2 linked regions of the Struthio camelus genome follow. The protein of the gene in region 1 purifies or fractionates together with the protein of each later gene. This does not show direct contact. Links are inferred from orthologs where the notes say so. Each region holds a gene or a part of one and is shown on either strand. Other genes may lie near its edges.

The links. Proteins that work in one complex are often made in the same cells at the same time.
Region 2: the proteins of NMNAT2 (region 1) and FBXO45 purify together in Homo sapiens (co-immunoprecipitation; 3 studies listed by BioGRID and IntAct, with this or other methods). This does not show direct contact. The link is inferred for Struthio camelus from reciprocal best matches to the Homo sapiens genes NMNAT2 and FBXO45.

Annotation. Positions count from the first base shown.
Region 1 is NC_090949.1:4,499,625-4,506,711, forward strand, and holds the start of NMNAT2 (nicotinamide/nicotinic acid mononucleotide adenylyltransferase 2), read left to right. Parts: upstream 1-4,014; 5' UTR 4,015-4,144; coding exon 4,145-4,229; intron 4,230-7,087.
Region 2 is NC_090950.1:2,495,475-2,503,368, forward strand, and holds the start of FBXO45 (F-box/SPRY domain-containing protein 1), read left to right. Parts: upstream 1-4,894; coding exon 4,895-5,164; intron 5,165-5,355; coding exon 5,356-5,712; intron 5,713-7,751; coding exon 7,752-7,894. Other genes in the region: WDR53 (WD repeat-containing protein 53), read right to left, coding at 1,828-2,304. UniProt on the Homo sapiens protein: Component of E3 ubiquitin ligase complex consisting of FBXO45, MYCBP2 and SKP1. Functions in substrate recognition but also plays an important role in assembly of the complex.

The DNA.
Region 1 (7,087 bases):
CCCATTTCAAGGAGATCTTCAGTCTCAAGAAAAGAGAATTGTAAATGTGGGTTGTTGCAGTACAGAAATTCCTAGGGTTACAGGGCTGGCTTTTGGGCATCAGAGCTTCATGGAAATCCTCCAGACAGGAAGACTCTGAATTGTGCGGGCAGTGATTTCATGACTAGTTTAAGCCCCTCTGACTCCTTGGGCTAGACCTAGCAATCACATGGCTGTGGGGCAATCAGGCAAAAGGACTAGATTGCAGTGTTCTGGTTGTTAGTGCCAGTGGCAGTGAGAGGGAAGGCAAGGAAGGGGGAGGACATCAGTGCTCAGGTCCGGCTGCAATATAGAGAGACCATCGTTCTTCCGTTTTGCCCTCTGTCTGACCTAATGCACAAACTCAAATCACAGGTAGCCACTTGCCACCGCGGCGCAGGCTGGAGCCCAAATCATGTGGGAGTCTCCGGGCACTCTCGCAGCACAAATAATCACAGACAGCATGGACCAGCAGGACATGAGAATGGTGCTTCTGGTGAGTGTTTGCTCATTGGACCAGCACAACTGGTTCCTACCACAGGGGTTGTCTGTCCTTCGTTGCGTCCCTGCAGTTTTGTTCACAGGTGTGAAATTTGCGCCTACAAGCTTTTCGGTGCCCGTCCCTGTGGGTGTCGTGCCTGGGTCTAGCTGATCCACTGCGCTGATCCACCTCGCTGATCCTTGCATGCGTCATTCCAGCACCAAGACCTGCTTCACTTCACTCAGCCCCACTCGGGTCTCCCCATCTCTACTTTGTCCTGCAGCCGTGGCACCTGATGCTCCTACGGCTGCAGGTAGTCCAACTTATGGAAAGCTAAAGGGAAAATACCCTCCCTGCAAGTGTTTCCCATGCAAAATTAGTGGGGAATGGGCTGAGGTCAAAAAGTATTTTTCAAGTGTCTTGCCAGAACTGCGATCTCTTTTCTTCAGAAGGAGTCAGTGAAGGAGTCTCTTAGTAAAAGCCAAAATCCCACATTTCATATCAGATCTCTTAACGCAAAGCAGCATCGCTACGTGTCTCCAGCCTTGACAGCAGCACCTGCCTTTCCTGCCAGAGTGGGACAGTCAGTCAAAGCCAGCTGCAGTTAAAACAGGGCTCAGCTATGGGGACTCTTGCTGTCATCATACCAATAAGCCTTAAAACTGTAACACGAGCTCTTTGCGCTGGGACCCTCGGCAACAGCAACGCTTTCTGAGACAGAGTATCCCAAACATACATAGCTGAAAAATGAACGTAGCATTCAAGAACGCTGGCAATATCCCATGCTTCACTAGGTCCAGCTTCTCATTTTTGTTGCAGTCTCTGCTCGCTTCTCTGCTCACTTGTGCTCCTCCTGCCTCCTTGCCCTTCACGTGGCCAGCACGTGGCTCGGCTCGGGCTCCCTGCCTTGCCTGTGATGAGCTGAGCTGCACCTCTGCAGGGTCCAGGCTCTGTGCTTAGAAGCCACGCAGCTGCGCTCCCATATGACCAAGGTTGCAATGGTTGGAGGGAGCAACGGCTGCTACCTCAGCTAGAGACACTAGAGTGTTCCTGTTAAAGGAAGAAAAAATCGGTATGTTATTAAATCAGTATGGGGAGAGAAAACACTAAAACGACCCCCCCCCCTCCAACCTTTCATCAGTTCTCCAGTGCAGGAAAGATTATCAGCACTGCATTTTTTTAAGCACAGGGAGGTCCACATGCCATTTCTTAGCCTGATTTCCTACAGAAAAGAAGCTAATGCAGTCATGCTTCCTGTCCCTCCAGCTGTGTATTAGTCTTCACAGGTAGCTTTTGAACCTGTTGGCCAATTTGCAACAAAATTGGAGAAAAATTGGAGTTTTGTGAAAACAGAGAGAAGAGACATACACATGCACACACAGAGGGCCAGTCGGCATGTGCTGCCTCTTGCCCCAGCATATGTAGGGGACGTGGGAGGGCCCGAGCGGCCTGCAGCATTTTGGGAGGGAGGAGAACAAGCGAAGGAGGAGTGAGGTCCTGGGGGCGCCCAGTGGGAAACACCAGTCATCGCCAGGGTATGGACACGGTACATGGTGCCAGAAGGAAGCAGCCCCCAGGAGAGCCTCTGCTCGCTCTGTGGCACCACCGAAGCTTCCCAGCCCCGTAGCACCAAAGAGGCAAAGGAGAGTTTGTCTGATTATTCGTGTTTTTCTGGCCTCATCGATTTGTGACAGAGCTCTTCAGCTCCGCCACAGCAAGAGCAGGAGGCGGAGCCCAGGCCCTGGTTTCCCAAGGAGCACAGTGCCTGCGTGCACAGTGCACCCATCTCACCAGCCAGGCACCTCGCAAGCCCTGGGTGATGCCTTCATCACATCCTGGTGATACTCTCACGTATCTCCCTATGATGCCCTCCTATATCACTAGATGAGGCCTTCTTGGATACCTTGGTGTATGGTTTCTGAGAAAGCAAAAGGGATCAGCGAGGGAAGTAGTGCTGTAGCTCTGCAAACCCAACGTGCAATCTTTTTGCATCTTATGCTCCCTGTGTTTTAGAGGATTTTTCATGAAGGCATTTTAGAAAGCGCATGGCTCTCCCCTGTTGGGAGAGTTAAGAGACCTCAACCTTGGCTGTGTGTCCCTCATCGCTACAGGCTGGGGGCCCTGACTCCGCTCCCAGCACCCTGCTCTCTGCCGACCGTATTCCCTGCTCCTCCTAAACGTTCCCTATGACCCCGTATTCCCATGAGGCCGTACAAGAGATACACCGACTTCAGTCTCACAAGCTGCTCGTCACGAGTGGACTGCTCACTCGCGGGCCTCAGTTTGTGGGAATTTGGCAAACATGACACGTGCTATTAATGCACGAGCAGCTCCAGGGAGGGGCTGCTTCTGCAGAGCTGACGCACGGTGACCGATCCAAGCCTGGTGCGTGGCTCCGACACCCGGGGTGCCTGCGCATCCCCACTTCTGCACGTGGCAAACGGCCTCAACTCGGCTTTGCTGGCCCTGGGAGCTGGAGAAACAGCAGATTTTAATAATCACAACCTCAACACGGGTGGCACGGCTACTTTAGGTAATATAGAGAGCCTTAAAGAATGTCCTCTTTTTCTGATGTCGTTCTGAGGCTTATACACGACAATTAAAGTCTGTGGATTTGAAGGCAAGGTTATACTGAATGCCGTGCCAGCGTCAAACTGCAGAGCCGCAACTTCTGCTAAAGTAGCAAATCTCTACCCTGGGGTGGTGGCTAGGAGGAACAGCACAAAAACGCCCTAACACAAAACCCCAAATCTCTTCCCATATTCTGAACCATCGAACGTCCTTACATAGCTAGTAAGAAGGTATATCACCACTTTGGAGAAAACACAAAAACGTGTCATACTTTTCCTGACTTGACGTTGCTTCTTCGTTTATTTATTACCATTTACCTCACGTAGACAACGGAAAAGGGACCCTGCGGAGCTGGCGCAGGTACCCACCCCGGGCAGGGCTGCGAGCGGGGCTGCTGTTCTCCCCTAGCCGAGCTCACCCTCACCCGGCACGGACCCGGCCCGGCCGTAGCGTCAACGTGCCCGTTGTCTTGGGTCGTGTTTGGTTTTGAGAATAACGCCGAGAGTCAACCTCTACGAATGCAGATAACTTCATGTTTGCAACAGCAAGCTCCCCCGCCCGGATTTCCACTGGTGATTGTGCAGAATCCCCTTAAGGGGTTTTGCTGCTGGTGACGGACGGACGTTTATGGGCAAAAGGTTGAGCTGAGGAGCCGGAAGGAAACGACCGGCCAGAGCGGGCGGAAGGGGAGGCCGAGCACCCCGCGGCCACGAAAAGGTCCTTGCAGGGCGCTTGGGGGGCGGGGGGGGGGGGGGACACGCAAAAGGGGGTTGTGGCACCTGAGCACCCTGCGCGCCCCTGCGGGTGCCCCCAGGCCCTGCGGTGCGCGCGCCCGCGGGCGCGCACGGCTGTGAGCGTGTGCGGCTGCAGGGGCGCGTGCCCGGCGGGGCGGGGCGGCTCGGGCCGCGCTCCCGCAGCCGCGGCGCCGCCTCCCTCCCTCCCTCCCTCCCTCCCTCCGTCCCTCGCTCCGTCCCTCGCTCGCTCCCTCCCGCCGCAGCCGCACCGAGACACAAAAAGCGGCTGGGGCTGGGGCTGGGCAGGGCCGGGCCGGGCCGGGCGGCGGCGGCCGGCACCATGACGGAGACCACCAAGACGCACGTTATCCTGCTGGCCTGCGGCAGCTTCAACCCCATCACCAAGGGCCACATCCAGATGTTCGGTGAGATGTGCGCGGAGGGAGGCGGCGGCGGCGGCGGCGGGAGGGGGGGGGGCGGCGGCTCCGCGCCGGCTGCCGCAGCGCCCGGCCGCGCCGGGGCGGCCGCTGTCCGCGGTGCTGAAGCGCGGCCGGGCCGGGCCCGGGGGCGCCGCCGCGGGCTGAGCGGCCTCCGCAGCCCCCAGCACAAACGCGGGCGTGCGCTTGACAGAGCCCCAATTCCCCAGTGGTTTTTTTTTTTTTTTCCGCTGATAACGCCGAAAGGGATCAGAAAGGCTCGCTGGAGCTGATTGCCCCCACCCCCCTCCCCCAAAAAAAGGGGCGACGATCTGAGCGACCGGCGCTGGTAAAAGCGTTGCCTACGGCCAGCTCGGGAGGGCACGCTGCTGAAGGCGGCCTGACGTGTCGTAGATACTGATGGGGCTTGACGCGCCTAGAGAGCCGCATACGAGCAGCAACTTACCTGGCGGGGTCCTCTGCTACAGACCGCCAAAGAAAATGGCAGGGCAAGGGCCAGTTCCTGCAACCTCTCTTGCAAAGTGCAGCGCGAGGAACCACCCTCGAGTCCGATAGGAAATTTCAGTCTGGGGAGCGGATGCTGAAGGTCTGTCTCATGCTACAGCCCGAGAAGCACCTCTCGGATTTCTAGAAGTTGTAGATAAGTTCCTAAACGCAAAAAAAATTTGATGTCAGTGTGAGGTATTTCTGTGTCATACCTTATTTTCATAGCTCGCAATGAGTTGGTCACCAGGCTAAAAAATGATGGCTTTCCAGATGCAGATGATCACGTTGCAATTTCATTTCTCATAAGAGCAAGCAAAATGTGGTCCTGGACAACAATATACTTGAAATGTCAAAAATTCCTTTTCTCTAAGCTAAAAACAGTCGTGAGCAAAAAAGAATGAGAGGAATTATTTAAAAATCAAAAAGTAATTAAATGAAATTACAGGCTTGGCTGACAGAGGTAGCTATTGATAAAACAGATTTCTATAATTCACGTTAGTTAGAGACATTCTGATTAAGAAAAGTAGCACTCTAAAAAAATCAATGCAGCCCATATTCAATGAACTAAAACCCAGTAACAACATATATTTTAGAAAAAAATGATCAGGGAGGTATTGGTATGCAGCGGATGTTTTTAGTAGACTCACGATGAGGCTTGGTTTTGGCTCAGTGCAGTTCAGTACCTGTATCAACAACCTGGAAGAAAATACACAATCACTGCTGGTAAAACGTGCCCACGACCCCAAAGTGGGTAGAGCGGCAGTTAGTGAAGGTAACTCGTCAGTTGTACCAGCTGTCTTGGACTGTTTGATTAAAAAGGTCTTTGAGTTCAAACAGCCAGACGAGAAATCATGTCCAGCAGCAATCAGGCATGTCGCACGTAACAGACAGGCAAATGTCTTCTGCAGAGCAGCGGCTGTGGAAAGGGCTGAGGAGTAGTGGTGTGTGGCCCATGGAATACAGCCCTCCCCCCACCCCCGCCCTGTGACGCCGTAAATAAAGTGGTAAATGCAATCCTTTGTATGCGAGCAGGGGAACATTAAGCGGAAGAAGAAAGGTTGCATTATTTTTATACCCAGCATTAGCAAAACCCTTCCTGGACTAACAGGAACTAGAATTACATTAGCTCCGGAAACCAGGCCTTTTACAGCAAAAGGCGAAGGAAGCTTAGTCTGGATCCACAAAAGATGTTCAGCAGTGACTCGATCACGGCCTACGTGTATCAGCGTGGAGGAGGGACATGTGAGAGAAGGGGGCTCTTTTATCCAGTAGAGGAAGGGAGAAGGAGATCGAGATCCCACGCAGCTTCAGGCTAGGAAGGGGCTCTGTGTTTCTGAGTGAAGCTACTCAACTAGGAGAACAACGTTCTTCGGTACCTGCTGGACTCCCCGACACCTGAAGACTCTAGATCAAGCCTCAGATGTCAGGAAATCATGTTTTAGCTTAAAGAGGATGGCCTGACGCAGAAATTATCTGCCCCTTCATCCTGTAGAGATCCTGGAACGTATGAGTCTTGAGATATCCGATAGGGACAAACGAGTCTTCTGCGAGGAACGGATCCAGAATCTAGCTTTTAAATCCCTGCTCATTTTTATTTAAGGAAGCCCCTGCCCCCACGTCTAAAAGACTAACCACGTGAGGACAGGAGAATCTGGACCAAAACGTGTGATGTGCCTTCAGCTCTGTGCTGTATGAGCCCAGTCAACACAGGGCTCTTTCCTGTAAACGCAGTATTGCAAACAGCTGAACACGTGCAAAGGTACTGCCTTTCTCTCTCTCTGACAAAATACGTGGGCTCCATAAGCCTGATAGGAGGAATTTTTGCTTTAAGATAAAGAGATAGCATTTAGCAATTTAACACATGACACCAGTTAAGCAAAAGAGAAAGTACAGGGCAGTTGCAATCGTGTGCCATCGCTGACATGTCGTTGTATGCCAACGGTCGTTTTTCTCAGTTTGGATCTCGTCGTATTTTATTCAGGCCAAATCCCGACCTATGCCCATAGGAGCTTTGTGTGACGTGAACTAGATCGGTATTTGGAAGTCTTTTCTAATGGACGGAAGGTTTCTGCTGCGTTATTTTTACCAGTCATGTGAATTTAAGGCTCGGGATCAGCATTACTCTTGGGTTTCCAGAAAGCTGGGGTTTGTTACAAGCCCGGACCCCAGACTCCCGCTGCATGCCCTTGCACCCTCGCATCCATGTGGCGTCCCACTTACTCCATCCTTTGCTCACGACGAGCCTGAGGCACTAATGCTCGCCAAAGGAGTCTGTTTCAAGTCTCTGCGTATATATAATAAATAAAAAAAACAGTAATTAATATACAAAAATACATAATAGAAACGCAGGTGGGATAATG
Region 2 (7,894 bases), on another chromosome or scaffold:
GCAGCTACGGTAAAACTGCTTTGCTCCTAACGAAAGGGAAAACATTCCATGATGACTCGGCAGCATAGAGCAAATTAGAGAGGCCGGGTCTAATGCTTAAGGCAAACAGTCCCATTCTCATCTTTGATAGCGCTGCAAGAGCTTTAGCAAATACATCTGGATTAAGTGGTAAAGCACCCAAACAGTAACAAGCTTTCTGAAAAGCAAGTATCTTACTTATTACAGCTCAGCTTCTCTGTGAAATGGTATATCCTAAAGACAGCCTTGATGTCTGTAGAAATGCTCTTTTCATTGTACAAAAATGCTCATAAATGTCTACTATTTTGGGGGTACTGACTTTCACGTAAAACCTAATTTGCCTATAGTAAAACACACTACAACTAAAAATGTCACAGAAAATAACTAGTTTTCTCACGCTGAAATCTGATATAAATGATTAAAATTCTGATAAAAAGTTTCTAGCCATAGGCTTGTGAATTGGCACGTAGGGTACCTGAAAATACATAACCATTTTAAGGTGCCAAGCATTTACTGCTCTCAAACTGATATTTTGGTATCTCTGAAAAAGAAGTTTCCCAAAGTACTTCATTTAAGATTCTATATCCATCTTTTAGCCAACTGTGTTTGAAGATCTGTCAAAGTCAAAATTTGGAAAACTTCTATTAATCAGCCTCTATTCAACTATATCTACTTACTGAATTTATATAAACCCTGGTCTTAATATGGAAAAATATCACCTATATCAAAATGCATTCACCCTAACTGATGTCAGAGGTACTTTAGTTTTAAGAACACAGGATGAAATTGCTTACAGCTGTCAAAGAAAAATCCATCTTTAACACCACTAAAATCACGGAAACCTTTGGAGAACTGGTAGTTCTAATCTCAGGTATTTTTCTTCTATTGGACACCTTAAGAGGAATCCGTAAAACGGTGTTCTGAAACAGAGAAGACTGCTTATGTCTTTGCAATATTGCATTCTCATCAGATGGAAACTGGATTTTGCAGTGCTTGGTGGTCTCCAGTGAACTGTGCAGACAAGAAGGGGAAAAACAACACCCAAGCATTTCCCCACTCTACAACAGGAAAGTGGTCACACGTCAACCACGGGGAAGTAATTACAAAAAAAAATCTGCTTTGGGTGATATTGGGTGCCAACTTTGACAGTGTAACTCAACATTCCACTAACTCTAGCATGGTTCAGTGTTTCTTCTAAAAATGCTCTTTAGGAGCACGCAAATGACAAAATTTCCACTTGAGGAAGGTAAAAAGGAAAAGTACATTTAACACTTTCAAGATGATACTGTGAACAAAGGATAAAAAATAAATTTATAAAAATAACTTTAATCCTTACAGTGGTACATACCACTTGGATAGATATTTATCTATCTATATTAAAGTATTCTTGCTAGCACCTTGTCAGCTTCAAGTATTTTGCATTTTCCTAACTACCATCAAAATTTTGTTTGCAGCCGTAATTGATCGCTAGAGACAGCCTGTGTTTTTGCTCTGTGAAACAGAGAGGTGATGCAGTTGCCCCATCTTCTGATGCCCTCCCCCTCACTTCTATATTGTAACTATTAATGAAGACAAAAATCGCAAGACTAACTGCTGAGCAGAAAACAGCATTAATAGTCTCAACACTGTTAGCTTCTCTGCCAAAACTACTTTAGGAAAGTTAAAGAGCTTTCCACTGGCTGCAGGCTGTACGACTCTCCCTCTTGTTCTGTGGAAGTGTGGTGAAAGTGTGTTGGGGCCTCACTACACACACGTGTAGTTTCTGTTTAGCTTCTCTAATAACCATATGTCTACTTTTATGCAAATCACCTGCATGTCCAGTCCACAGGAAAGAAGGCTTTGTGGCCTCTGAGGTCGAAAGACAACAGAGGAGCAGATATTTGAGTGTCTCAAGGACCGGCTGACTTTCTTGTTTTCTAAGTCTATAATCTTTATTGTCCCAGAATCATCTGCTGCAGCCAAGAAATTGTCAGTCTCGTTCACTGAAAGGCAACTGATCTCCTCCTCGTTCACTTGGAAGCATTCAGTAGGCTCCTTAAGAGATCGAACATCCAGCAAACTGATAGTTTCTCCATGGGAAGTGTACAGCCTGGTAGGACAGGTGGGAGAGAACACAACAGAGGTAACATCATCTGCCTTACAAAGCTGGAGCTGTCCTACTGGAATGCCTTTTCCATCCCAGATGGTGAGCTCGCCTCTTTCTGCTCCTGAAGCTACCAGCCCTTCCTTGTTTATGTTCAGGCACAGTATAGAGGAGGAATGCCCATCAGTCCATTTGACTGCCATATTTCAGGGCCACCTGTGAAACAAACAAACGGAAAACTGAATTGAGCTGGAGTTGTTCTCATTACGATGTAAAGCTTACCTAAGAAGTGAGATTATTGGGTTGACTCAGTCACACACACCAGATGAAACTCTAGTGTCCAGTGAAAACAGACACCTCTATAGGTAAGTACCCAGGTGGAAGCTTTGGCTCAAGCATTATCAACAGACTACATCAGCAACAACATAATGGGTTGGTAGAAGTGATCGCATATGTGCTTGTGAAGGACATGAATTAGATCTGCTGCTCTGAAGTAGCTACCTAAGTGGGGGTTGCTTTCTCTGCCATTTCTTTGCAGTGAATATGGATATAGTGTGTCTGACGAACTAGGGGCACAGTTTCAAGGGGGGCTTACTGGAAAGGAGAAAGGGGAAGATTGTTACAGTTTGCAGAGAAGTCCTACTGTTCCAGTCTGTGTGAGGGCAACCACATATGAACATACCTTTTATCCAGGTATGGATATGCTAGATAATCAATATCCAACATTAATTTGTAAAGCAACCTTGTAATACCTGGAGTAAAAAAACTTGTGCTGGTGAAAGGGGGATAAACTGATTAATGCTGAAGTGACTACTTTAATTATGGTTTAAAAGCATACATTAGTATGAATAAATTTTAAACTGTTTTGCATGTGTACTTCGTGTTCCCAAACTGAAGTTAATTCTCACTTGACTGGTAAACACTAAAGCATATTTGCCTAAACAGACATACAGTAACACAAGGTGTGTTTGAAAAAAATATCAGCAGTTTAACAAAAGTAGTTACACTGTTTACTGCACATTTACTAGGGTCTTAAAGCAGCATACATTCAGCTTACTGTGCTCCTGGCCCTTTCCTGTGCACTAGCCCATGATAAGACAGTTTAGGGAGCCATGCCAGCAGAAAATGAAATGGGGCGGGGGGAAGGAGGAAGGGAGGGAGAAAAGCAACACAAAAACACAGCAGGTTTGAGCTTGCTTAGCTCCCTGAACCAGCTCACAAGGGCAAAGGAGAGCTAGTACCTGTGCAAGGGAGTAGACACAACATGGGGTTTGCAGGATGGAACTACGGCTGGATGCCAGTGAGCTTAAGTTACCATAGAGCATACTGTAACATTTACCTTTTTATTACATCAGAAAGCAATGAGTGAAGTACTCCTTTTTGTACTATGCTACTTTTTTTGTGTATGTAATTTTTATTCAGCTGGATTTGAAGAGTAGTTAAAATTGATTCTATCCACCGACAGAATTTCAATCTTCTTGATTAAATGAAATTACCCAAAGTGCCAGCTATGTTGTTAGCAAATGATGTTCCTGTATTCAGGAAGTTGAGAAAATTATTTCTGGTTACCCTCTCCCACACTGTGGGACCTAGTACATCTCACTGATATATCTAGTTTCTGGCTTTACAGGAAGAAAACCTTCTCCCAGTTGGTTTCTCAGCTTTTGAATAAACGAGTTATTGAAATAGAATTAGCTCATAATACAGTTAAAAATATGTTTGTATGGCTAGATAAAAGTACTGCTGTCAGTGGCTGTTCCACTGTTACAAGAAACTCTGCTTGCAGTTGCTTACACAGCAAGTTTAGTAAGTTAAAGTTTCAACAGTAAATACTGTGCTCACTGATTCTCTAACTCAATGCTTTTAATTATTTTAGGCCATTAATATAGGTTGACTGCTTAAAGGTAATACATTTTAAAAGGTGTATTTGAATCCAATGCCAGTCCTATTTATTTTAATGCAGTTGTATTCGTGTAGGGGCTCGCAGGGTTCCTGTACTACCAAGTCTGACACCCTGACACTGCCACAAGCAGAAGGAAAGAAAAACGGGGGGGGGGGGGGGCTGTAACCAGAACGAAGGAAGGAGCGTAGAGAGGAAACACCGGAGGATGCTGGGGAAACGCCAAGTCAGGGCAAGCGGAACGACGGGCAGCTGGGCGAGCCGCAGTGCCCGCGGCACGGGGGCGCGCCCCGCCTCGCCTCACCTCACCTCACCTCAGGGGCAACGGCCCCCGCGGCCGCGCGCAGGGCCGCACGGAGAGCGCGTCACGGCCAGACCGAGGGACTCAGAGCGCGGTCTTATTTTAAAAGCCGCCGGCTGGCGTTTCCAGTCACAGAAACTGCGGCGCTCTGCCTCGCGGTGCGGGAAAAGCCACCGGCCGGGCGCGGCCGCGCCGCCCCCAACCGCCGCGCAGGCCTCGCAGCCCCTTCCGCGCGGCGCCCTCACCTCCACCGGCCGCTCCCGCGCCCCGCCCCGCCCCGCGCATGCGCGGCCGCGGCCTCCGGCGGCGCTGCCCGCAGCCGTTATGGCGGCGCCGAGCGCGCGCGTCCCCTCCCCGTGAGGCCTGTGGCGGCGGCGGCGGCGGCAGAGCGGGGCGGGCGCTGGCGGCCGGCGCGCCTGCGGCCCGGGGCCCGCCGCCGCGCTCCGCCGCCCGCCCGCGCTTGCGGCCAGCGAAGCGGGGCGAGCCCGTCGTTTCCCGCCCCCTGCCCCGCGCTGTCGGCTCGCGCGAGGCCGGCCGGCGCGGCGCGGCCCTCGAGCCCCGGGCCCGGCGGGGGGCGCCGCCGCCTGAGGCGATGGCGGCGGGCGGCGCGGGCGGCGGCGGCGCGGCGGCGGCGCTGGCGGGGGGAGCGGGGTGGCGGCTGCCGGGGCGGGTGCTGGAGCTGGTGTTCTCCTACCTGGAGCTGCGGGAGCTGCGGAGCTGCGCCCTGGTCTGCAAGCTGTGGCACCGCGTCCTCCACGGCGACGAGAACAGCGAGGTGTGGCGCAGCCTGGCGGCCCGCTGCCTGGCGGAGGAGGCGCTGCGCACCGACATCCTCTGCAACGTGCCCACCTACAAGGGCAAGGTGGGTCGGCGGGGGAGCCGCGGGGCCTCCGCGGCCTGGGCTGGGCTGCGGGCCGTTGTGCGCCCCGCGTTAGGAGCCGGGCGGGGGGCGGGGGGGAAGACGGTCGATATTGCCCTGCCAGCGGCACCGCTAGAAGGGTTTGGATTGTCCCTTCCTGCCTGAACGCCCTCTCCCTTCCCCTTCTCTGCTAGGTACGTGCCTTTCACCACGCCTTTAGCACCAACGATTGCTCCAGGAACGTCTACATCAAGAAGAACGGCTTCACTTTGCACCGCAACCCCATCGCTCAGAGCACGGATGGGGCAAGGACCAAGATCGGCTTCAGCGAGGGCCGCCACGCGTGGGAAGTGTGGTGGGAGGGCCCGCTGGGCACCGTGGCTGTCATCGGCATTGCCACGAAGCGGGCTGCCATGCAGTGCCAGGGCTACGTGGCACTACTGGGGAGCGATGACCAGAGCTGGGGCTGGAATTTGGTGGACAATAATTTACTGCATAATGGAGAAGTGAACGGCAGTTTCCCTCAGTGCAATAACGCACCGAAATACCAGGTGGGTGAGACTTGGCGCAGGCTGGGAGCTTTACTGTCTCGAACAGCAGCTGTCCTCCAAGAATTTCTTCATAGCATGTAGTAGTTAGCTGCTTGCTGAATTGGTCTTAAGTGGTCATCTAGAGCAAAACGGTCCCTGCAGGAGGTAAATGATGGTGCCGTACAAGGGGTTTCCCCCTTAATGTTTCCTTCGATTATGTCTGTGTGTAATGTTCAGTACAACTCATTCTCTGTTGTTTCCCCTACTGAAGACAACAAATAAACTTTTATTTCAAATATGAAGTGAGGAACACACACTATGGGTGCTTATCTAAAGACAATTGCTTTTTGAAAAAGAAGCTGACGAGGCCATTCTGGCTATCTTAAGTAAAGATTTTGCCTGTCAGTGATATGACTGTGTGTGTGGTAGCTGTGTTATCTTTTTGTTACCCTGCAGTGGGAGTTGAAGTTAGTGCTTAGGTAAGAGTTTTCCTGCAAGAAAATGCAGTAATGCCGAGTGCTGTTTGTTTGCTCCCTGGCACTGTTCCTAAAGGTGACATCTTTAGGCTGGGATGTGATGTTCAGATAAATAGATGTTATTAAAGAGGAAGTGCCATTCTGTCTTTTTGTCCATATCAAAGTGGTTTACCTTTGCTCTCTTGGCCATCTGCACGATGGTTTGACTGCTAGATTTCCTCACGTTACAACTTCAGCCATGCGCAGTATAATGCCTGACTCATAATATCGAAGGTTTTGTACGAATGTTGACTCCAAAGCAGCTTGTATTTCAGTTGTGGGTGAAGATTTGCTTAGGAACTTGTATCTGATGTTCCTAAATTTCACATAAAGGCTCGCTGCCAAGCACTTGATCTGATTTGGTCTGAAGCTTGTACCTGCCATTTTTGCAAACAAAACCTAAAATGAGTGTTTTTAAAGAGATTTAGTTTGCTTTCTATTTGCATGTTTTTTAACATGCAAGTGCACTTTCCAGACTTGACCGTTTGTGGTCATTTTCTGCTGTCTGTATCTAGGCCTTTATGCAGCCACAGGGCAAGAAAAAGTTTTAGAGCCAGGAGAACTCTCATGTGGACTCGAGGGAGAACAGGTCTTGCACTTGCTTTTTTCTTTTTAAAAGTTGGTTAGAGCTCAGATTGGTGATCCTTTAAAGTACTTTATATGCAGTAAAACAAGCACAGTGAGCTGCTTGTATATAATACACTAAAAGTAACTATATGTTTGCTGGTGTTGGAAGAAAAATGTGTTGTTTTGAAGAAAATGCCAACGTTGCAGTTGGCTTGTGGAGAATCAGAAGTTTGTGCTGTATCATGTTGTGCTTGCTGCTGGTGTCTGTGACTTACCTTTACATTTGAAAAATATGTAGTAGGTGAATGCTGGGAGCATTGTGTATGTTGTGATCTGATTATCTTACTGCATTCAGTGTTCTTTTCATTCGTGTGTATATATATATTTAGGTTTTTCATACTTAATTTACCTAGGCTTTGCACTGTAATTTCTTTCTGCCCTTTCTACCAAGGAATCCCTCTGACGATGACAGTACTTGTATAGTCAGTAAAATATTCTGGTATAGTTTGTATGTTGCGCTTACCTGTTTTTAAACAGGTTCATTGTCTTTTAAAATTGCTCAGCACGGACATTACTGGTCAGTGATAGCAACCAAATGCAGGGTTTGGGTAACTTTGGGTGGAGGCCGTTACAAAACTTCCCCAAGCTGCAGAATTCTGAAGTAAATGGCATATGTTATGCTAACTCTCAGTGCTATTGTGATGTTCTGATGCAAAGGGCTACGTTTGTTACTCTGGTGGTTAGATATAGGTTGCCTATTGGAAACTGCCAGTACAGATGCTCAGAATCTTACGTGTATCAGTGAAATGGAGAAGTTCCACGGAAAAAGTAGTGCAATCTTGAGAAACAGGAAAACCTCCCTTTGAGGTGATCTGCTGTACTGTACACGGGCTTTGCTTTATTTTTCATGTCTCTATTTGAATATGTTGACTTTTTCTTTTGTTTTATTTTTCTTCCTCTTCTTATTTCTGTTTCCAGATAGGTGAAAGGATTCGAGTTATCCTGGACATGGAAGACAAAACGTTAGCGTTTGAGAGGGGCTATGAGTTTTTGGGAGTTGCATTCAGAGGACTGCCAAAAGTTTGCCTGTATCCAGCAGTGTCTGCTGTGTATGGTAACAC